3 linked regions of the Alligator mississippiensis genome follow. The protein of the gene in region 3 purifies or fractionates together with the protein of the main gene of each other region. This does not show direct contact. Links are inferred from orthologs where the notes say so. Each region holds a gene or a part of one and is shown on either strand. Other genes may lie near its edges.

Evidence for each region. The genes of interacting proteins can lie anywhere in the genome.
Region 1: the proteins of DDB2 (region 3) and COPS8 purify together in Homo sapiens (affinity purification with mass spectrometry; 6 studies listed by BioGRID and IntAct, counting the BioPlex papers as one, with this or other methods). This does not show direct contact. The link is inferred for Alligator mississippiensis from reciprocal best matches to the Homo sapiens genes DDB2 and COPS8.
Region 2: the proteins of DDB2 (region 3) and XPC purify together in Homo sapiens (affinity purification with western blotting; 5 studies listed by BioGRID and IntAct, with this or other methods). This does not show direct contact. The link is inferred for Alligator mississippiensis from reciprocal best matches to the Homo sapiens genes DDB2 and XPC.

Annotation. Positions count from the first base shown.
Region 1 is NC_081827.1:186,157,485-186,165,917, reverse strand, and holds the start of COPS8 (COP9 signalosome complex subunit 8), read right to left. Parts: upstream 3,792-8,433; 5' UTR 3,690-3,791; coding exon 3,612-3,689; intron 1-3,611. UniProt on the Homo sapiens protein: Component of the COP9 signalosome complex (CSN), a complex involved in various cellular and developmental processes.
Region 2 is NC_081835.1:16,881,511-16,889,346, reverse strand, and holds the start of XPC (DNA repair protein complementing XP-C cells), read right to left. Parts: upstream 3,792-7,836; 5' UTR 3,759-3,791; coding exon 3,683-3,758; intron 3,254-3,682; exon of another isoform or gene 3,171-3,253; intron 3,082-3,170; exon of another isoform or gene 2,950-3,081; intron 1,186-2,949; coding exon 978-1,185; intron 398-977; coding exon 270-397; intron 1-269. Other genes in the region: U6 snRNA-associated Sm-like protein LSm3, read left to right, coding at 4,006-4,026, 4,319-4,429. UniProt on the Homo sapiens protein: Involved in global genome nucleotide excision repair (GG-NER) by acting as damage sensing and DNA-binding factor component of the XPC complex. Has only a low DNA repair activity by itself which is stimulated by RAD23B and RAD23A.
Region 3 is NC_081825.1:227,869,839-227,877,901, reverse strand, and holds the start of DDB2 (DNA damage-binding protein 2), read right to left. Parts: upstream 3,303-8,063; 5' UTR 3,186-3,302; coding exon 3,125-3,185; intron 2,837-3,124; exon of another isoform or gene 2,776-2,836; coding exon of another isoform or gene 2,763-2,775; intron 2,547-2,762; exon of another isoform or gene 2,442-2,546; intron 870-2,441; coding exon 690-869; intron 1-689.

The DNA.
Region 1 (8,433 bases), on a different chromosome or scaffold from region 3:
AAGACAGCAGTGTAGCAATAATCTGTATGCAAATGGAGGTTGTTGGTTAGGAGACCTGATAAACTGATCAACGGCAAGTGAAGACTGATGACTACTGACAGTTCTATAGGAAATGGGAGAGGATAGTGAAACTGATGTCAAGTTTGTCACCTTTCTGCTCCTCAAATCTGGTATAAGAATAGTTCAGAATCCTTGCTCTACATCATGTTGGTTTCCAACAACTCCTAAGGACTCATGGTCTATATGAGAGAGAGAGAGGCCGACACAGAGCTGTATCAAGGGTCTTCAAAATTAAAGCCAACTAGTCTTTCTACCTTCCTTGGCTGCTACTTAGATCACTAGGTGCACAAGAGAAACTGACAAGACTTTCACATCACTGCAAGAGACAGGAACTAGAAACAGTGAGGACTAGGATTAAAAACACAGACCAAGGAAAGATGTATTAGTGGAGACTACCATCTTCGCAGCAGCCAATGTACTCTGAATGAGAAGGGAAAGAAAAGAGAATTGGACCTCTTTGCAAGCATCTAGAGAGGGATGTGCAGATTTCAAGTAGGAAGCAGTTAGATACTCACTAGCTGAAAGCTACAGAACACTGTATTGAAACCACCCTGGAAGGAAATATTTTTAGCAAGACCCAACAGAAATTGGGGCTCTACTGTGCTAGGCACTATATATGAACATCCCAAAAGATGGAGTCCGTGTCCTGAAGAGCTCACAAACTAAAACAGCGCTCGCAATGGAGGTGCCCTGATCAATCGGTCCATATTGTAAGTCGGCACCGATAAAAAGGAAACTGACATTACTAGATTTCTTTTGGCTACATGGCCAATAATGTAGCTGATAAATGCCTGCGTGCATGTGCACAGCCGCAGCGTGCATGCAGCCACGAGTGCAGCCCAGCAGCTTGGAGACAAGCGTCTAGCCCGCCTGTGGGGGGGAAGGGGCATGAGAGAGGCAGATCAAGCCCCCACAGCGAGGGAGGAAGCGGGGCAGGGGCTGCACAACTGGGGTGGGGCGAGGTGTGGGCTGGAGCCACGGCTCGTCCAGAAGGCGTGTGGGGGGCAGGGAGGGGGGGGATGGTTTCCACCACTGCATGCAACCTTGGAAGAGGCATGAGCCCCCCAGATCTGTGTGCAGAGCGAGGGCAGGCTGCTGCATGCTCAGGGCCGGGGATCCACTGGGCTCTTCCCAGTGGGAAGTGGGAGGCTGAGCCTGGGCTGCGCACAGGGTGGGCAGCAGCAGTGCTGGGAGGAGGACTATGGGATGGGCTACAGTCACCCTTTGCCATAGCCCCCCTCCCAGCACAGCTGCCATCCACCCTGTCCCTGCCTACCCTGAGCACAGCCCAGGCCCTATCCCCCACTCCCCCCATGCTCCCCCAGGGGTGCACACAGTGACGGAAGCTGTTCCCCCTGCACCGCCTGGATGAGCCGCGGCTCTGTCCCATGCCCTGCCCCACCACGGCTGTGCAGTGCCTGCTCCTGCCCAGCCCCACTCCCTCCGTCACCAAGGGGGACCTTGATCTCCCCTCCCCCCCAACAGACTTACCAGCCAGACGGTGCTCTCCAAGCTGCTAGGCTGCATCTTGGCAATTGGACTGGTATTGGCTGATATGGCTCGTTAATAAATCAGCCATCGGTATTGTTAGATCCCGGCTCCATGCGGCTCCCAACGACTAGGGAGACAACTATCCAATTGCTCATGGATCCAGCTGCTCATTAGCCAGAACAAGCAGGCAGCAAACACCAGCACATATTGCTCGCAACAGCTTTATTCAAAATGCAGACAGCTTCGGGCAAGCTTCCAAAGAAACTGGGGAGCAGCAGTGAACATACGTTTTTTTCCATATTTATACACTTTGGTTTATACTTATTAATATTTACTCCACCTTTGTCCCTCCCATCTCAAGCTCTGCCTTTGTTTACCATTTACTTCATTAGCATGGAATTGTCTATGCATTTCACTTATTTACATGTCTTTTTGCTATGAACACACGACTAAGACCTTGACTCCACTTCTTTCGGTCACTGGGCTGACTTCAGCCAAAACCTGGAAGCTTCTTTACCAATCACCATTCACCTTTTCACATATGTTTATTTCAGATTCTGTTACCAATGATATGTCATCTTTCACATTTCAGTCTGTTTTTCAGTCCCATATTGTACCATCTTTACATTACCTCATTCGCAACACACAGACTTACTTGCTGCTTTTTCAGAAGAATGGTTCACACAGTTAAGATGGTTAATTCACATAAGCAAATGGATGGCTTAGCATAAGCATTCATAAGCAAAATCTGCTCTATCTCCTAATGACAGCCGGTGGCTTGCATCCTGTTTCTTTTATATAAAGGAGTTACATATCCTACAACACTACTATATGGTCAGAAAACTACTTGCTTAAGCATCTCACAATGTTACTTTTAATACACCATTCTGCCTTGTGGTCAGCAGCTTTTGTAAGCCACAGATTAAAGCCTTTATTCAGCTGCAAATCCAGTACTCCCCAAGATCCAAATACAGTCACCCCAACAGGTAGCAGCCCCCAAAAAATCTTTATCTATGCACTCCTAGCTCACAGACATTGGAAAAACCAGCAGACAGACACAAAATGTTCTCTCTGGTAATATCAGCATCACATCAAAGTTAAAACACAATACAAATGGCAAAGGAGGATGGGGGTAACTTTACTCAGTAGAGAACTACCCCTGAAAGAAGACGTAGTAAACCTGACAGGTTTATGTGGTGCCTGTCCCCACTGCTAGAGACAAATAAGCTACTGCCTGCTCCACCAGCTCCAACCTTCTCCAAGTGCAGCAGAGGCCACCTGCAAACCCAGGATGGATAACTTCGTCTCTGTTCCTGATCCCAGTGAAATTTAAACAAGAGCACAAACTGCTATACATGTCCGTACCCAAGAAGTGGAAGGGGCCCATACAAGTTCCCACAACTGACCAGCCATCCACCTAGGAAGGAAAATGGCTCTGCTCTGGTTTCTGCTCCCTGCTGTGTCCTAAATTCAATCTGCTACTCTCTCTGTTGTCTTGCAGATCCAATCTGCTGCTCTGCTTCCTTCTCCCTGCCCTGTTTCATGTCCGATCTGCTGCTCTGCTTTCTGCTCCATGCACTCAAGTCCAACCATCTGCTTTACGTTCTGCTCCTTGCCTTGTGTCCCATGTCTGATGTGATGCTCTGCTTTCTGCTCTATGCCTTGTCCCGTGTCCGATCGGCTACTCTGCTTTCTACTCCCGCCCCGTGTCACACCTCCAACCTGCCCCTCTTTCTCTTCCCTGCCCTATCTCCCAGGTCCAGTCTGCTGCTCTGTTGTTTCCCCTTCACTAGCTCATGTCCGATCAGCTCGTTTCTGCCCCGCTCCCTGCCCCGTGTCCCACGTCCGATCCGCTGCTCCCCCTGCCCGGCCGGTTTGGACCGTTCGCGGCAGGCGGCGGCGAACGTGGGGCAGCCCCGCCCCTTTTAGCATCGGCTCCGCCCCGCGCGCGCCACCGGCAGCGGGACCTGAAGCCCCAGGGGCCCAGCGCGACCCCCCGAGCCGGGCGCGACCCCGTGCGGAAGGGGAGCGGCTGCTGCCCCTCCTGGCCCCGCCGCTACCTCCAGCTCCTGCGTCTCGCACTGCTCCAGCAGCTTCCTGAAGCTGAAGGCGTTTTCCGCCATCACCGCCACTGGCATCTTCCTGCCCGGGCAGGCGCCACAGCCGCCCGCCGCTTCCGGCCCAGAGCTCGCGTCACTTCCTCCCACACCACTGGCGAGGAGTGGGAACCGTGTCGCAGAGCCGCTCTTGCCACCCCTCGGCTGCTTAGGAGGACTCGAGACTTGGAGGGAGGAACGCTCCGGGAGGGGGCGGGACCGCACTGCGAGCCAATGGCGCAGCTGCCAGCCCCGCCCCGCCTCGCCCCGCTCCTCTGGCTGCTCACCTGGGTCGACGGAAGCTGTGGGGAGATTCCAGCGGGGCTGGCGGGCGCTTCTCGTCTGCCTGGCTGACTTTATTTGGGAAGGTCAAGTAGAACACGTATCTATCTATCTATCTATCTATCTATCACAAACTTTGGTGACTAACCAAAGCAGTACATAGAGCGCCCCTCTCCACCCCGCCCCCAAATGCACGTACGGTACAAGTCTTGCTGACCTGAATCCAGCTGCAAAGGACAAAAGAGACAGAAATGATTCAAAACGAAATCGCCAAATTTGACGAAAGGAGGCTAGATTAAAACTGAGGCTCCACAGCTGTAGGTAGATTGTCAGTGGAGTCCGTCAGACATCACAGAGCTTTGCTGCCATATTAAAATGTTCCAAGATTCACTAAAACCAGTGTGAAGTTTGTATTTCAGCCTTGGAAACAGAAAACATTATTTTCTTATATCCCACAGAAAAAACTACAATAAACGTGTATAGCATGAGCTTTGGTGACTAATTACACCCATAGACACAGACACGTGTATCCCCCTTCCAGCTTTGGTGAGTCAAAGCTCGTTTCATCAGATACTTTCAGTAGCACGTGCCTACTGGGCTTTCTTTTTTTTCTGATGGCAACACACACACACACACACACACACACACACACACACACACACACACACACACACACACACACACACACACACACACTTTGGTCAGTCTATAAGGTGGAAATCCACCCTTCCTTTTAATTGACTTCAGACTAATGTGGCTAACTAAAGGTGCGTCTGTGTGTTCATAAATGCATTTTAGGCCACGCTTATTAAATCTAGTATCTCTGGCCATTTTTACACATGCTGTGGGATCGGGGAGAGGGAGAGGGGAGCGCTTTCATTAGAGTAGCTTCCAGAGCCACTCTAATTAAAGAGCCCAGAACTTCTCATTGATCAGAGTCCCTGCGCTCCAAAATGGTGGTGGGGGTCCTTTAAAGCTGGTTCAATGAGCTTGAAGTTTTGAAGTGCAGGGACGCTGACACATGAGAGGTGGAGGCTGGCTGGAGCAGACTCGATTAATCAAGTCTGCTCCAATGCACTGTAATTACAGCATGGCAAAACAGCCTCCCAGTTTAGGTACAGGCACCCTCCATTGTGAGGTACTAGAAAACCGTACATTAGACTATTTTAATGTGTATTAGTTAAAGAGCACTTTTTATGACACTTTAATGCACATTAAAATAAGCTAATGTGCATTAAAGTGCACATATAGACATGCATTACATCTCTCAGCAAATGCTGTGTCACTACTGATCAGGGCTCTTCTAGCATCTCTATAGCAGCAAACCTGTAACATTGGAGGCTATTGCTTATATGCAGAATGCTACTAACGTGACTCCACGCTGTGCAAGAACTTGATCAGGCTGCTGTGTAGGAAAAGACTGACCAGAAGAAGGTAGAAGCCATACTTCACTGCTGCTCTCTGTGCTGGAAGTGTGCTCACAGCTCCCCTGTGCTAGGATTTTTGCTTTCCTCCTTCATATCCCTCCTAAAATCTTTCAACACGTCTAACTTCCGCTTCTGCTCTACTGCCAGTGTGATTCATCACCTAAACTATAAGCATGAGGCCTAGTACTGAAAGGCAAAGAGTATTTGCAAACAGTTTCCACATTAGATGTCGATCCACATCTGCTTCGGCAACACAACACGAAACATTGTCCACCTCACCACCACCATCAGCTACAATTGCCAACCACTCAGGGTGGCACCACCTACCCGCTCCTTTCAACCCTGTACATTTCTGATATCATATCAGCTATATAGTAAAAAAAAATCATATATATAAATGATCATTACTTTGTAACATGGGGGGAAGGAAAAGGGAGATGATTCACAAGGCTTGTCGACGGGATCACCATGAGGTTGCCTACTGGGAGACCAGCTGGAGCCTAAGCGGGTGCAAAAGGCAGGGTTTTGGGGTGACTGTGTCCTGCAGTGGGGTGGGGGGCTTAGCATGAGACTCCCAGTGGGAGGTAGAGGGCTGAGGACTGTGCAGGGAGCCCAGTTTACTGGCACAAACAGGCGCCTCCTGCTGTAACTCATTAGAAAAGACATTACTAGTAGGGCTGTGCGAAATTTCGCCGGCAGTTTCATTTTGACAGTTTCGACTAGTTTTGAGCTCAAAACAGCAACATCGAAATGAAAAAGAGAGCTTCAAAACAGCCTCAAAACAAAACAAGACAAGTCAAAACGTTTCAAAATTTTCAAAACGTTTTGAGTTTCGAAGCTCAAGCTGGGCTTGCCTGCAGGGAAACAGAAACTAAAGTAAGGGGAGGGAGAGGGTAGAGAGGGGAAGGAGCGCTCTCATTATTGACTGTGTAGCTGGCCAGTGAATGTCATCCTTTCCTGAGGTCCCTTCCAATCCCAGTGCTCTGGGGAGGGATAGAAAAACTGCAAAGAAGGCAGCATTGTTTGAACTGCCCTGTTTTCTGCCTTGGTGTCAGTCGAGTGAGGGCGCAGCTTAACACACATACACAGTGTCACCCATGCATGTCACGAGTTTTGCCTGTCAGCAGCTAGGGGTGCAGGGCCCCAGAACCCAGAAGTCCCTGAACTTATCTCCTTGAAAGCTGGCAGGCTTCATGACCTCGTCAGGGTCTAGCATGCCTGCAGTTTTCAGCCTGCTGCGCCTTAACACACACAGTGTCACCCATGTCACAAGTTTTGCTTGTCTGCAGCTTGAGGTGCGGTTTCCCATAAACCCCTGCATCTATCTCCTTGAAGCTTGGCAGGCTTCATGCCCTTAGAAGGGGCTACCATTCCTGCAAGTTTCATCCAAATCAGGCTAGAAATGACAAAGTTATAGGCTGTTTTAACCTTCCCCATTATAGCCTATGGGCAAAACTTCGAAACAGCGTCAAAACAGCAAAACCGTTTACACAAAACGAAACAGCAGTTTTGAATTGAAGTGAAATTCGAAAGGAAACGCTGTTCCGTTGAAACATCAAAACACAAGTCGAAACAGAACAGTGGTGTTTCACACAGCCCTAATTACTAGAGGTAGATTGGTATTTGTCTCCCCTTACTGGAATTTGCGGCAATGGGACTTAAGTCATTTGAAAGCCCATGGCGTGCAAACACAAACATGATGCACCAAAATAACTCAGGTTAAAATTTTTAAGGCCTGGTAAATTAATGAGGATCAAACGCTGCACTGTGTACAAATGCCCTAAGTCTTTAAATCCCAGTCCTGCTAAGACATAAAGCACATATGAAACTGTTTGCAACACCAGAGCCTGTGACTGTCCTGAAAAAGTTACAGCGACAACACCTCATACATCTGAAGCTCCTCATGTTTTGCTTCATCACAGCCCTTCTAGAAGGTTAGTTATGCTGGAGGATTAAGTATATTTCTATCCATCAGTCACTGCTTTTGTTTAATGGGAAAGTTGGAGTTGTGTTGGAATTTCTTTATAAATTCTATTTTATTGCCACCCTCTCTTTCTCCCAGGTGGTGGCACTGCTGTACTGTCTCTTATCCTCTGCCCTATTCACATGCTACTCCATGGTATTTCTAAGCAAATGCTGACCTGGCTTTCACATTCCTCATCTCTAGTTTCCAACTTGATCTGTCTTGCTCTTTGTTTTCCTCAGCTCAGTACAGTGGGTGCTTCCCATAAAGAAGCTGCTTTGAAATTCAAATATATCAAAACATGTTTTTCCTCACCTCAGTAGCATTTCCAAACACCCACTATTTTTAGAGAAGGATATGGTCCTTCTGATCCAGTTAAGGGGAGTCATCGATATCAGTGGGGTTTGTATCAGGCCTTCAGTCACCACCTTATGCTTTAATAAGGTCACAGCCTGTCCTATTTTGTCTCAGTTCAGGAAAGCACTTGCCTGCTTGGATACACTTGACTTTGTATGCTTACATGCTTTCCTGAATTGGTGGCTCAGGCAGCTGACAGTATTTTACCAATACTGATTAGGAGTTCTAAGCTGGTGTAAATGAGCATACCTTGATTTCCATGCAGGTCAAAGTTGAGGTCTCTGTGTAGGAAATAGATGTACAGTGAGTGACTTGGACACAGCAGCAGCCTGCATTCATTCCCATAGCTGCTTTTGGCTAGGACAGTCTGTTCTAAGGTAAGGGTGGGCAATTATTTGGGCTGGAGAGCTACATAAGGAGTTTTCGTGAGCTGTTTATTGTAGGCTGACAGAGGGAGGGTAGGTGCTGACTCAGTCTGGTGCAGTTGGGGTGAGGAATTGATCCTATTCAGGTCCAGGTCCATTTTTCCCACACCCACTGCCAGGGGCACCAGATGAGGCCATGGACAGGGTGCACTCTGCCTAGTACTGGGGGCAGGGAGCTGTGCATGGGAGTGGGATGGACAGGCGGGACCAGGATCACAGGGCCATGACAGCACAGGGCTAGGTCTGGGGTAGAACTGTGATCTGCTTTCCACATGTCCCTGCAACAAGTGCCGGTTCCATGGGCAGGGACATGCAGGTAGTGGATTGTGGCT
Region 2 (7,836 bases), on a different chromosome or scaffold from region 3:
CGGCCAAATAATTGAATCAGGACAGAAATCCAAATCAGTTAATCGAATTGCTGTTCCCCAAATCGGGCTGAATCTAAACCTGAATTGAATACAGCCTGCTTCGCACACTCCTAACTTACAGGATCAGCATTTTAACACATGCCATGCACTGTGACCATTTATTGGACCCTGCATAAAGATGGACGGGTTCCACTGAAAGCAGCCAGAATCAGTTAAACTATCCCAAAGAATGTCTGATAGTTGATAAGGCCATGTTGAAAGATTCGTACCTTCCACATCCTCCCATTCATCCTCACTTTCATCATCATTGCTGCCATCATTGTTTTCATCCATCTCTTTTTTAACAGTGGATTCTCTCTTCAAACTCTTCCCGTTCCCAGAGGGGCTTGGTAAACCACTATAAAGGTTGCACAAAAAAAAACTTCAAAGTTGTGGGTTATATCATCTTGTTTGTTTAAAATGTGGAGGGAGGACAATGTCTGTACTAATTAGAGGAACACATGTAATATGACAACGTTATCAATAACAACAGCTGCAAAAGCTTAGAATATACTTAAAACCTAAACCACAAATACCAGCATGGACACAATCTTTGCAAGCAATACATGGATGATAAACACAAAATATTTCACTGGCATTTTTAAGTCTGTTTATGTTGCATTATAAAATGCCTCCAATTTAAAAAAAAAACTATAATTTGGGGGGTCTTAAGTCCTTAACAACTTCCTTCTGAAATTAAAATACACATTAAGCTTGGAAAAGCCTCAAACGCTTTCCACCCCCATTCAGTTCCATACACTTGATCCCATGAACATGCACACAAGTAATTTGGCTCATATGTGAAGCTATGATGAACAGAATGGTACCAAACAGCAGAAGTAAATTTCTCCTATATGAGGTTTGTTGAACTGGGTGTTAAGTAAACATGTTTAGCAATGGACATGTAATAGTTGTATTGATGCAGTCAGTTAACTTACCTGCACATTTCCTCCTCTTTAGGATTTCCTTCATTTTTTATAGCTTTGTTATTTTTCCCCTTTCCTCTTGACTTTGATTCTTTTTGGCTTGTAGCTCTAGTTGCTGGACTGTAAACTCTAGTGTCACCATCTTCTTTCTTCTTCTTCTTTCCACTGAGGGCCTTTGAGACACTCCTCTTCAAAATAGGCTTTTCCTCTTCAAAGTCATCTAAATTGGAACAGAGGGAAAGAAGTGTTATGGAGCAAAATCCTGGCTCTCTTGAAATCAACCATAAAACACCTACTGACGTCAATGGGGCCGAGTTTCTATGGAGCAAAAAATGCAGGCTAAGAGCGAACAAACTGCCTTTAAGGATATCCTTAAAACAAATGGGTAGCATTAAATCAAAAAGCACGTGTGAAATAAAATTATAAGGAAAGTTCAGCTCAGAAGACAAAAGATTTATTCCTGGGTCTTTTCCAATGATGACAAAAAAAAAGCAAATATTCTTGCTTCAGTACTGCATATTGAAGCATCTACTGCATAAAAAAAAATCTCTAGGCAAGTGGAATTTTTGCAAGTTTGATTTAAATAACCCCTTTTCTCAAGAGTCTCCTGAAGCAACAGCAAGCTGCTTTCTTAACCTGCTGCGTCTATGTACTACTATGATGAATTGGATAGATCTTACACGTATGAAATCGATCTGGTTTCATGCAACATAGCAGGCTTACCTACCTTTCAGATTATGGCCTAATGTAGTTGAGATAAAGTTAGACAAGTTTTCACATGTAAGATATTTTTCTCAGGTCTTACATGTGAAAGCTTGCTTATTTTCATCCCAACTCCATAGTTGGTCCAATCAAAGATCTCACCCTATGAAATCCTTGCCTCTTGCATTATTTCTGGATCATCATAGTTACAACATCACTCTTACACTACCATAGAGGGAGAGAGCATTCACTTAGATAGCTCTAGAGCAATCTACACCCCGCTGGCATTCAATATCCCCCCTGGTATCCACGGGCAAATCTAGGATTTTGAAAAGAAGGGTGCAGATGGTGTAGAACATCATATCATAGGATCACAGAAAATTAGGGTTGGAAGGGACCTCAGGAGGTTATCTAGTCCAGTGGTTCTCAACCTTTTTTTGTACAAAGACCCATTTGTAAACATTGATGGCCAGTCCCGACCCAGTGCCCCTCACTCCTGACCGACTGCTTTCTGCCGCCAGCTCCCCAGTGTGTGGGGCAGGAGTGATACATGTGGGGCATATGTGTGGGGCGTGGGGCATGGGGCATAGGGCATATGTGTGGGGCATGGGGGGCTCCAAGCAGCCCGCTGCAGGCGGGAACTCTGACAACCTGCAAGAGAAAAGCCACCGTTTCCCACATTTTATTCCTTTAAAGGAGAATCCATTTTGTTGATCCATTTTTAAAGTTTGTTCAAGACCCTCTCTCATATTCTTGCTACCCACTTTTGGGTCACAACCCATATAGGTAGAGAAACACTGAGCTAGTCCAACCTCCTGCTCACAACAGGACCATCCCCAACTAGATCGTCCCAGTCAGGGCTTTGTCTAGACAGGTGATCTGCCGAGGTCCCTTCCAGCCCTAACGTCCATGAAATCTATGAAAAAATCTCCAAGGATAGAAATTGAAACTAAAACTACACCACTATCCTTCTACTTCTTTTCCTTCCATTATAACAAGGCAGGTTGTTCATTCATTTGTTGCTTCCACCGTTTTACAGACAGATATAACCAAAGTATAATACAAGTAACTGTAATTTGAATCAATAATACAATGAGCAAAGGGCTGTAATAATGTAAATCCTTGGATGAAGATCCGATGGGTCAGGTTATCCCACCGGTTGTCTGCAGTACTTTCTTGGATGCTAGCACTCAGTTCCTGGAGCTGTTTGTTTTTTTGATCCATGAGCATCCCCACAACTTTCCCTTCTTCTTTTAGGAGAGACCAGTCTTTCTCTATTTACCAATTTCTTCCAGCTCCTTCCACAGCCAAATGTGCAAGTTAAGGCCACCCACACGAAAGCGCTGTACTACGGCTTCTGGGTCAATCTGTTGTGCAACGATCCCAGCGCTCGCCCCTAGGAGCCCAGGGCAGGGGGTCGGACTTCGTGATCCGTTCAGATCCCTTCAGACCCTAGAAACTAGGAAACGCTTTATATTTGATGCCTGGGATCCAGGACCTCACCCGTCTGTGTGGAAACGTTACGGCACCACGCTCCCTCTTCACGACCGCTCCGGGTAACCTGTGCCGGTGCTTTTCTACCCTCCTTGCGAAAGCTTTTCCTAATATCCTACCTAAACTTCCCTAAATGCAACTCACATTTTTTTTCCCCCTCCGGTCAAAAAAGAAACTTGACGCTTTATTAATATGCTAAGGGGGGGGGGGGGGCACTATACTATTAGAGCAAAAAACAACTATAACTATTGGAGTGCGCGTGAGTTTTCTAGAGCATATATAAAACTTAAAAAAAAACCCAAAATAGTCAAAGGGTATCGTATCGTCAGTGCTGAGGTCATCAAGAGTGAAAGGCATGTCTGTCACTCAGTTATATAACAAGATCCAGCCGTGTCGGGCTCTGGTGCTTTGCTGTCAGTCATTTCCACACCCGAGTTAACGTCTCACCGCCCCGGCACCGAGCCCGGCTTCACGGTCCGCGATCCCGGGGCCTCCAGCCGGGCCGCCGCCGCCGCACTCACCGTCCGACCCGCGCGGGGGCTTAGGCCTCTTGCTGGCGGCCTCCCGCGCCGGGACCCCGCGGCGCTTTCTCCCCATGCCGCAGCGCCGGCTCCCAGCCCCGCCCACCTGACGTCCCTTCCGGCCCCAGCACCCCGCCCCCCTCCCGTGAGACACCCGCCCCCTTGAGGTGAGCGGTGCCCATTTCACAGCTGCGAACACTGAGGGCTCGCGGGGAGACAGGCCACGCCCTCTCCCCTCGCGCGACGCGTGACGTCATCACGCCCCCAGCCCCGCGGGATGTGGAAGGCGGGTTCGTGGGATCTCGCGAGAGTTCGTTTGAAAGATGGCGGACGAGGTGGACCAGGTGAGGCGCTTTCCCCGAGCCGGCTCGTGTCATCCGTGTCTCGGCCGCGCTGGCGAGGCCTGAGCGCTGGGACGCTAGTGCTGGTGGGGCGGGCGCAGGCTGCCAGGCCCTCGGGGGATTATGCCCCGTTTGCTCAAGTTGCCGCTTCTGGTGGACGCTGGCTTGATCGGGGTGTCTGTGACACAACAGCAGTGTCCTCGCCCTGTCTCTGCCTGCGAGCCCCGGGGATTAGCACACGCAACGTCCAGGGGGTTTCATGCTTGTAATAGGAACCGCCTCGTTTTTTTCTCAGCAACAGACAACCAATACCGTAGAGGAGCCGCTGGATCTCATCAGGCTCAGTCTAGATGAGCGAATCTACGTGAAAATGAGGAACGATCGAGAGCTCAGAGGGAGATTACATGTAAGCGAAGATCACAGAATCGTAAATAAGGGTTGGAAGGGAGCTCAGGAGGTCGCATCTAGTCCAACCCCTGCTCAAAGCAGGACCAGCCTCAGCTAGATCACCCCCGCCAAGGCTTTGTCTAGTCAGGTCTTAAAAACCTCCAAGGCTGGAGCTTCCACAACTCTTGGTGATCTGTTCCTGTGCTTTACTACCCTCCTAGTGAGGGACTTTTTCCTAATATCCAACCTAAATCTCCCTTGCTGCAACTTGAAACCGTCGGGCATTTTTACCCATGCATGTGCCACAGCGCCGGGCGCTTTGAAAAGCACGTGATGCTGCAATGCATGCGGTTGGGTAAGTGGTGAAGTGCGCGTCAGAGCGTGGAAAATGGCGGTGGTCCACTTTTGAACTAAAACACATCAAAGGTGTTTTCATTCAAATGCACGCCGCTGCCATTTCCTCCGTGCTGGTGTGCATTTTGCCATTTATACAACTGCAGATGACGCAGTGCGGTGTGCATCAGCTCGTGTGCAGAGCAGACTCAGTTAATTAAGTCGATTAATCTGCTCTGATGCACTGGATCTGTGGTGCGTGGCAGCATGAAAAAGTATGTGTATAAATGCCCGTTGTTTCTTGTTCTGTCATGTGTCACCACTGAGAACAGTCCAGCTCCATCCTCTGCAGTCCCACCCTTCAGGGAATTGAATGCTGCTATTAAGTCCCCTCTCAGTCTTCTCTTCTCTAGACTAAATAAGCCCAGTTCCCTCAGCCTTTCCTTATAAATCATGCTCTCCGGCCCCCTGTCCATTTTGTTGCCCTCCACTGGACTCTCCGATTTGGCCGTATCCTTTCTGTATTGGGGGCCCAAAACTGAACACAGTACTCCACATGTGGCCTTACCAGTGCTGAATACAGGGGAATAATCACTTCCCTTGATGTGCTGGCAGTGCTCCCACTAATGTTAGCATTCTTTTCAACAAGGGTACGCTGTTGGCTCATATTCAGCCTATTGTCTGCTATAACCCACAGGTCCTTTTTTGCAGAGCTGCTGCTTGTCCAGTCAGCCCCTAGCCTGTCCTGGTGCATAGGATTATTCCATTCTAAGTGCAGGGTTTTGCACTTGTCTTTATTGAACTTCATGAGATTTACTTTGGTCCAATCCTCCAATTTGTCAAGGTCTCTCTGAATCCTAGCCCTACCCTCCGGCATATCTACTACTCCCCGCAGCTTGAGTATGCAGATGACACCAGCTCCATCCCATTATCCAGATCTGTGGAAATACTTGGGATCAGAGGTCAGTTGGGCTGCAAGGAACCTCTTGAGGTTGTCTAGTCCAGCCCCTGCTCAGGGTAGGATTGCCCCTGACTAAACCATCCCAGCCAAGTGCCTTTCCGACTTTCTCTCAAAAACTTCCAAGGACAGAGATTCCACAGCTTCTCTAGGTAGCCTGTTCCAATGCTTGACCACCCTCATAATCGGAAGGTTCCTCCTAATCTCCAACCTAAATTTCCCTTGCCGTAGTTTGAAGTCATTGCACCTAGTCTCTTTCCCCTATAGTTACAGAGAAACCCCATCTCCATCATTTCTATAGTCATGACTTGGGTATTTGAAGGCTGTTATCAAATTCCCCTTGGTCTTCTATTCTGCAGGCTGGTGAAGGCTGGTTCAGTAGGTAGTATTAGAGACAGATGATGCCTTCATTTCTGTTGTAATGGTGAACTTGTCTGTAGTGCTGCATGCAGGTTACCATAAACTAAATTATGATCTTAATTTAGGGGTCGGCGTCTTTTGACATGCATGTTGTAAGTGGCATACGCTGCATCTATGAGGCACAGGAGATCAGGGAGGCAAAAGAGAACACGGTGGCAGATAGGGCAGAAAGTAGAGCAGGCAGAAGAAGGGAATTAGAGTGACGGACTGGGAGGGTGCAGGGCTTACCATTTGGGTTGGTCTAATAAAAGATATCAAATTCACCCAAGGAACCTTGTGGGCTTACCATGTGACACTTCAGCCAAAAAGTTGGCTTCCCACTGATTTAAAGTTGTATGGCAATTTTTGCACCTGGCACGCAGCACAATCATATCTTGTGATTAGAAACATCTGAAAGGTGGCATATTTCCCCCCTTTGCAAAAGAACTTACTCCTGCTTTCCATACCAGATGTTCTAACAATGTGATAATTCAGAGCAGTGATTGTCAACCAGGATAGCACAGTTCCTCAGGCTGCCATGAGATTTTTTTCAGGGAGTGCTGTAAACAAGTGATCCAGTAAAACTGCCCTGCATGTAGTGCACATCCTTCCTGCGTTAGGGTTCTCTAATAACTGTAAAGGAGACAGCAGGGTCAGCTTGTGCTGTAGCCCATCCCAGTTAACCCCAACCTCAATCCCCTGACATGCCAAAAATCAGAGGCATGCATGACAGCTCCACTGTCCCACCTGACTCTTCCTGGGAGATATTGTGCAGTGGCAGACCTAGAATGGCTGCAGCACAATCCAATAGGGCTGCGCAAAGTTTTGGGTACTGATTTGATTCAGAGGAGATTTGGCCCAATTCGGTAGCCAAATCTCCGAATCCAAATCAAATCGGGACCAATTAAAAGGTCCAAATCTATTCGAAGCTCTCTGAATCAATTCAGAAAAGATTCAGAGAGGTTCGGTGATTCAGGCAGTCCGCACCCCCTGCAGCAGGTATCTGGACCTGGACTCCATGCTGGTAAGTAGGGGCTGGGGGAGTGGGGGCTGGACAAGATGGGGGGACCCATAGGGGGACCCCTGCCAGGCCTCATCCCCTGCCTGCTCCCCCCAGCCCCATCTCCCAGTGCTTTTAAAAAAAAGCCCCTACTTGCTGGGTGCTGTTCAGCAGGGGGGCAATCCCTCCTGCCCCCCACTGCCCCATGCTGCATGGGGGGGTTCTGCCACGAGCCCTCCTGTTTCCCCCCCCCCCCCCCAAGCTGCTCTACCCACCCCAGTTCTGGCCCTTTAAGAAAAAAATCAAAAAAATAAACCCCCAGACTCACCATCTCCTGCAGCAAGCTTGCGCAGAGCCGTCCGTCCCCCCCCCCCCCCAGCACAGGGCAGTGCGGGGCAGGGGGATCTCACTCCACTGGGAAGCACCTGGTGAGTCCAGGGTTTTATTGTTTGGGTTTTTTTTCTTCAAGGGCCAGGAGCTGGTCCATGTGGGGAGGTTGAGGGGCTTGTGACAGAGCCCCTCGTGCAGTGGGGGGCAGTGGGGATCCCCCCACCCAGCAGCACACAGTGAGTCGGGGCTTCATTTTTTTTTTTTTTTCCAAAGTGCTGGGAGCTGGGGTGGGCAGGGCAGCCATTAAGAGCAGGCGGGGGTTGGGGCCTGTGTGATTTGGAGATTTGGCAGCAGCCGAGTCTCCAAATCAGATTCAGGACAGTGATTCGAATCGCTGTCCCCCAAG
Region 3 (8,063 bases):
ATATCTCTGGAGATCCCATAAGCAAAATATAGCTTAAGAGTGACAGCCCTGAATGTATAGAGACACAGAGTCCTTAATGCAAGTCTACAAAGGTTCCTGGGACTGATCACTGAATATCAACACAAAAGAATTAGCCCTTGTTTCTCTGGACAGGACCTTAAAGAATAGCGGCAGAAAAATGTAGCACCTGGCTAGAACTGGCACCCAGCTCTATGAAACAGCTTACTGTTGGCTGCAGCATGATATCCAGGTGGAAAGGCTGGTGTAAATAGCATGGTGTGTATTACTAACCTGTCAGTTATGAAACAGTGTGAGGAATTAACATGAAAAAAAAACTATTACCAGGATTGCCTGCCTACAAGGAAGCAAAAATTCAGCCATTCAAAAATTTCACAAAGCTAAATCTATGTAAACTTCCTTGAGCCCCATTTTATAGTGATGAGCTGTGACTTTCAAGAAAATGCTATATGTGCAAGCTCACTGCAGTCTCTAAACAGATTACTGGGGGAAAAATATTTATATTATCCACCCCTCATGTAGAAACATAAGCCAATCCCAATGCTCCTGTCTGAACAAGTTGTTGGCTCCTTGATATCTTCCTATGCCAGCTATCTGAAGATTTGGCTGATAGTTTGTTCAAATTAGGCCTTGTGGGCAAAAAAGAAAATGAGAGCCCAAGGGAGATATACCTGTATTCTCTGGGGGTTTCATAGCTTTTCTCACAAACAGTCTCTTTGCTTGTGGCTCATTCTCTAGTTCTCCAGATTCTCGTTTCCTTTTCTCAGCTGACTTTGCCTCTTCCTCTGGCTGATGCTCATGAGCCTTCATGTGCTTCTTTTCCTTCGGCTGGTTGGCAGGGACCATTCTGTCTGAGCAGAAAAAGCAAACAAAGTAAGGAAGCTGTAATTGTCACTGCTTATGGCTAAAAAAGAGAACTGCAGTGTAATGTGCCCTGATTATGAGGCTATGCTTGTGCTACCCTTCATCACTGCAGCGCTGGCTTTTTGCATCCAATGATGTGAGGAGGAAACACGGTTCAATAAACTGCACTTTGTGCCTCTGTGAAAATGTGTGGCTCTTAAAGCACTGGGTTATCTGTTCTAGCAAATCTGTTTTTACAAAATAACCGAGTTTAAAATTTACTAATCCGGACGAAGCACATTTGTGCAACTTTAAAATGCAACACTAGTCTTTGCAGAAGCCCTTGTTACTTCATGATATCTCTGGTCAGGCTCAGCTAGGGAAAAGGCCAAGTGCTTTTGTGGCTTAATTAGAACACGGCCTCATCAAGCACTGTCATTGAAAAATAGCTTCTGAACACATGCAATCAACTCTCCTGGACTCTTAGATCATGCTTCTAGATGCTGTAGTGACACAGCAAATACTGGAAGACTTCATGCTTTTCTGGATCATTTACAAAGAGATGTTGGGACAGAATTAATTTGACCCCACGTTGTAACGCTCTGAACTAGGTTTTCAAAGTGATCCTTTCCGTCCAAAGTGGAGAGCCTCCTACTCAGCCTTCCTCCTTGGTCTAGTATAGGAGCGTACGAAGCAGAAAACGTCAGCAGCAAATCTCAAGTACCCTCCATGGAAACTAGCTGATACTGTAACAGGCTGTTTTATTTTTAATTTGTGAATGAATGTCACCAACAACTCTCTAGCGCCAAATGGCGTTAGGTGGGCAACAAGCAAGCTTCCTCATATAGCATCCCCGAACTGGCTTGGCGCACCCTCTACCTTTCCCAGACAGGGCTTGACGTAGCTCTGGCAGCACCCAGCCTATCCAGCACGCCTGCACAGCCTTGCTGCCGTCTGCCCATCCTCACCCGCAGCTGGGGTGGCCGTCACAGAGGACGTTCCGGCTTTCTGCTACTCTGTCCACTATTGATACGGAACCGGACGCCTTCATGCCCTCTCTTTTTCTCTTCAAGAGAAAAAACAGAGGACATAAAGGCATCTGGTTTTGTACCAACAGAGAACACAGGATAACCAGACTGTCCTCTATGATGGCCACCCCTACCCACAGCCCTGGAGGCTATTCCAGTGCCGGCATCTGAGGGCCAGTCTGGTTGGCACCAAATCAACTCCAGGGAAGGGATGGCCCAGCCCCACCTGCCCATACGCTTCCCAGCGCCAGCGCCTCGAAACCTTTGAGGCCCCCTTGAAAAGTGCCAGCTCTTGGCTTTCACTTGCTTTTTTGGAGGCCGGAAGCATGACAGAGCTGCGGGCCCCAGGGGCGTCTCTGGGCTTATGGGGTGCACGGCGCTGGCGCAGCCTGGAAAGGGACCCCTGGCACCCCGGGGCGCTGCCCGAGGACCGCACGGGAGGCAGTGACGGCGCCCCAGCTACGCCGCATCCACCTGCCCCGGGCCCTGGCGCCCCGGGCGGGGGGCCGCGACCAGCCAGAGCCCCGGCACCACCCTCCCCGCGGCCCTCACCTGGGCTCCCGCGGCCTCCGCTCCCCGCCCGCCCGGCTGCAGCGCGCCCTCCCCGCCTCCCCGCCCGGCCTCGCTCTAGCCGCGGGCCGGGGCTGCCGCGTGAGGCTGCGCAGGAAACAGGCCCCGACGCGCCGGGCTACGCCTCCGCCTGCTGCAGCGCCGCCCTCTGCGAAGGGCCTCCTGGCTCCCCTGCACGGCCCAGGGCCCGTCCTTCCTCGTCACGGAGAAGCCGGGCTGGAAGGGGCCTCCAGGTCGTCTCGTCCAGCCCCCCGTGCCTGAGGCAGGCTCAGCCCTATCCCAACTGTACATCCAAACCTCTACCTAAGACTGTCATGCACGAGCCAGCTCTGCGGCCACTGCTTTGGGCTCACGTGAGCAAGGATTCATTTAAGCAGCCAAGCTGGAAGCCCAGGGGGGGTTACGCCAGCCCTCTCGCCTCAGCAGGGAGCGCAGTGCCCAACATCTGTGTGACTCTTGGCAGGACTGTGAAGATGGACCATGACCAGGCATGGGAAGGCTCTGGCTCTTGCTGAAGACAAGAAGTCGTCCCTTAAAAAGTGAAGTCTTAACTCTGCAGCGTCACTGAGGCAGCTGCGCTGACAAGCACCCCCGTGGCAGCTGTGTTAGGGAGAGAAATCAAAGAGAAAGTAGCAAGGTTTTGTCCCTGCCACAATAATGCTTACCTGGACAGCCCCAAATCTCGACAGGAAAAGGAGGCCAGCAAAGCAGCCTGTTATCAAACATGTTTTCTAAGCTGGTGGTTCTCAACCCTGATAGCCTCAAGGCATCTCTTGGCAAATACCAGTGGCCATTTTTCCCTTGTTTTTTATAACTACAGAAAAATAAGAGAGAGAGAGCTGTTCTGCCATTGAAAAGAACTAACAAAGACCACACCTGGGCAGAATGATTTTAACACTTCGGATTCCTAGTTGAAATCTCTGGGTTTATTTTGTGGATCGTGTTTGCATATCTAACAGTACTAACGTTGTGTGGTGCCCCGTGGCACCCTTGAAAGGATCTAAGGCACCCCAGGATACGTGGCACCCTGACTGAGAATCACTGTCCTAGGCCTATATGTGAAGACCAGTTTGGTCACACACAGAAGTTTACAGAAAGCTTCTGACATATCATTTGATAACAATTTATCAGGTTCTTAAATGTAGGTTTCCTAGACAACCTTGTTTATCGGTTTTATTTTTTGTTTGAGTGATAAACGGGTGCATAGGATATAATTTTGTGATGTCGGTATGGGCTTCAGTTAGTGTTCCCACACAGAGCTATCTGACCCTCACAAGACTACTTTCTAGGGTTGTTTTCAAAAACAGTCTCTGCTTGTAGTCTAAGCCAGTGATTTTCAACCTTTTAAGTAGCAAGTATCCCCTGACTGCTGAAAATTTTAATGAGTACCCCAACACTCAATTTTCCCAGGGATTTTATATTTGCAGACTAACGTGTTGGAAGAAGGGCTGTGTATATAAGGCCATGATATGACAGATGTCTGATCTGGTGTGGGTAGGGTTGCCACCTTTTACACCAGGGGTGCACAACTCAAGTATGTACCTGGGCTAGAGGTGATGTTGGCCAAAGCTAGGAAGGCTGAACCCAGTGCCGCACAAAGCATGGCATGCCAAATTATTATTGGGGAGTTTATTCCAATTTTTTTTATTCCAATTTTTTTGCCATAGTTTTGAGAGCAGGAAGGGGCAAGAGAGAGAGGAAGATGGGGAGAGAAAGAAAGAGAGAGAGAGAGAGAGGAAAAGAAGGTGAGAAAGAGATAGTGTTGGGGTACCTGCATACCCCTTGCCTGTGTCTTGTGTACTGCCAGGGGTATGTGTACCACAAGTTGAGAAACTATGGTCTAAGCCAGGCAGAAGTAGGGAGGGAAGGAGTAAGGTATATTAATTCAGAGTCAACTGCCACACTACTACAAGGGAACCATGTTTATCCAGACCTGTTAAGCCTGTTGATTTGTGAAGTTTGTGTCACCTAAACCTAAACAACAACAACACTAATAATAGATGTCTGGTGAGGTCCAAAAAGGGCTTTATAGTAACCAAGAACTGTACTACATAAATTGAAAAATGTTAGAAACATCCACAAGAAGTTGCAGCTGCATATTAGAGATCAAGGAAAAACATGCATTTAGAATGTAGCTAAAGCAAATTCAAGAAATACAAGATGCAGTCTAGCTCAAATTCAAGTTGCAAGATCACTTCAGAGACCATTAGGATTCTCTGGTCTCTGAACTGATAACTGGTACTTTACAACATGCAGCAATGGAGGATAAAACAGACCTAAGCTATCACTACTTTGCACTGCACCTTGGTGGGTCCTTAACATGCTACTCCTATAACCATTCAGAATAGTCATCCCTACCACCAGCTTATACATACAAATCCTACGATATCTGTGTGTGCAGTTCTCAAAAGATACTATTGCTGCAATGGACACCTATGTATAGATAAAAATATTTTTCTTCCTACTGGAATATAATAATGTTGCATCAGTCACTTACACCCTATATGACAAACATAACATATTGGATATAGCAACTTATTAGGTGGGGAAAAACTATACCCACCCATGGAAAACACTTAGCTCCCACTACATTATTGTATATGTCAGCCTCTGCACATAATTTTCAATCATCTTCTGCAAAAAAAAAACCCAAAACACAGCATCCTTTTCAGTGCTGAATCAATTCATAATCATTCAAACTAGCATCTGTCATCAGGATACAAGACTCATGAAATCCCGAGGACCTGTTAAACTAGATCCCTCAGGAACCTAACGGGGGGAAAAGACTTCTTACTGTATACAGGAAAGGGAAGTGTGTTCAGCAGTATTCACAGTTTCCTAGAGACTACAAAGGAAAGAGGAACCTGTAAAGTTAAATAATAGATAGCAAAAAGTACTGATTATATTACTTCCATCTTAACCTCTACTGTTTTCCTCAGAATTAAAAAAATATAGATTCTTACCTTTCCACTGAAAAGGTAGGGATGAGATGGAAAAATTCCCATTGACTTCAATGGAATATGAAACAGTCCCAAAGTAAAGAACAAACTGTGATCCTGTTGTGCTAACTTTGCAGAAAGTTGTTTCCAGCTAAGATGTGAAACTCCCTTTTCCTATCCTGCTCACCTTCCTGAGGTGTTAACCGGAAAGTGGCCCAGAAGAGATTAGGCACAGTAACCTATGGACTTTCCACCTAACTAGAGTGGAAGTGATTAATTAATCTTTAAACAAACATGAGGGGCTTTTTTTTAAATCAAACACTAACACTGTCCTGATTTTCCCTTTGGAAACTCAACAGGTACCTTGGCAATTACCATTCTTACATAATTTGTTAAGAGCCAACTGTGCTGGATGTTGTGCAAGTCACAGAAAGAAACAGACCTGAAAGATAAAAGCTTTTGAGAAACCCTTATGCAGTCAGAAGACAACAGGAAAGAATAATTTTAATATAATAATGTTATTACTTGTATTACTGGGTCCCAGTGATGGTATAAATTCAAACAAGTCACAGGCCCAGTAGCAATCACAATTTTAGACATGTCTAACACTTCATTCTGCTTGGACAGGGTTAAAGTATCTGGAACATGACTGAAGCCCTTTCTGTACTTTGAGGGTAGCAATATTATAAGGGAGGGTCCTGATTTGGTGGTATATGTAGAGGTAATTGGGCCTTTTGCTTCACAGTGCCTGGATCTTTGCTAATGGAAGGTTTTGCTTTCTTGGACTATATTAGTTTGTACTTATTCTTGTAATTTTAAAGAGTGTAACATCTGAGCAACTTGATTCTCACCAGGACATGGAAGCAATTAAGAATTCCAACAAACCAAAAACATTAGGGAAAAAAACTGCGTAACCCTAGCAAAACTGAACCTCCTCCTATCCCAAGATCTTTCCCATCAAGCTGCCCCTGCCCTGAGAGAAAGAAGGTAACATTATCTACTTATCTCCTTCTTTACCTGGACACTCTGTCCTTTATGAGCCACACCTTCCTCCCAGAGGAAAGGAAAGACACATTAGAGAGAACATAGCATGACATCAGTGACTCAGAGACAGAAACAGGAGACTAAACCTCACACATGGTATGAAACTTTGTCTTGGGCAGTTGCTGGATACACAATATCTGCCTCTGACTGCTGAGATTTTTCCTTTTTCACACTTCGAATTGTTAATTGAACTAATGTATTGAAAGTGACATGAACTATGGTGGAGCATCACATTATGTTACAGAGGTCTACTAGTTTCTTTCCTCTTGCCTTCATTACAATATGAACACACTGATTAGTCTTTCCTCTCACTCATCTGCTTATGTTTTCTGGAGTAAGGCTTCAGATCTCAGAAGGGCATTGGGTGCTTCATCACTTTTGCTCCCCAGGAACTGGAAGCAATTAAAAAACAAATGGTCCCAGAATACACTCTGAATAACCAGGCCCAACAGTCATGGAGTGGATTTGTCAGTGCTACGAGTGATCTTTCCTTCCTGCCTGCCTTCTGTGGGGGTTTCAATCTTCCCTTTCTACTTTGATTGAATAAATGTCATTGTGAGTCCATAACTGATCCTGGTGTTTGATCCTCTAATAATTTAGAAGCAAGTGACAGGAAAATGGCCCAGCATGGACCTTTCACTCCCTTAACTTCATGCTGAATCATGGCCAAACTCTGGTTTAGAAATGGAAACTTTGGTGGGAAGACACAGCGGGCAGGTCTACACTTGTGCTTTAATTAATAGATTCAGAAGGGACCACAAAGGATCATCATGTCTGACCCCCTGCCCCTGGCAGGAAAGAGGACCAAGGTCAGATGACCCCAGCCAGGTGTCTATCAAGCCTCCTCTTGAAGACCTACAAGTTAGGTGATAGTACCACCTCTCTTGGAAGCCCATTCCAGATTCTGGCCACCCTTACTGTAAAAAATGTCTTCCTAATGTCCAACCTGAATCTTCTCTTCACTAGTTTGCATTCATTATTCCTAGTTACTCCTAGGGGTGCTCTGGTAAATTGTGCATCTTCAATTCCCCATTGTCCTCTGTTGATAAACTTATAGGCAGCTACAAGGTTCCTAGTTCCAAGGTTCCCTCAGATGTCTCTTGTGGAGGCTGAAGAGATCCAGATCCCACAACCGCCCCTCATAGGGTCTTTCACGAAGGCCACTAATCATGCGAGGGGCCTTCCTCTGAACCCTCTCCAGATTCTCTGTGTCCCTCTTGAAGTGCGGTGCCCAAAACTGGACACAGTACTCCAACTGTGGCCTGACCAGTACCGCATAGAAGGGGAGCATCACCTCCCTTGATCTGATACATCTGCTAATGCACGACAAGGTGCGATTGGCCTTGTTACACTGCCGACTCATATTCATCTTGGAGTCAACTATGACTCCAAGATCCCTCTCAGCTGCTGAGCTGCTGAGGAAGTCATCCCGCAACCTGTAGGTGTGCTGGGGATTCCTCCTCCCTAGGTAGAGTACCTTGCATTTATCTTAGTTGAACTGCATCCTATTTCATTCTGCCCATTGATCCAACCTGTCTAGGTCAGCCTGCATCTGCTCCCTGCCCTCTGGCGTGTTAACTTTGCCCCATAACTTGGTATCATCTGCAAACTTCAAGATGTG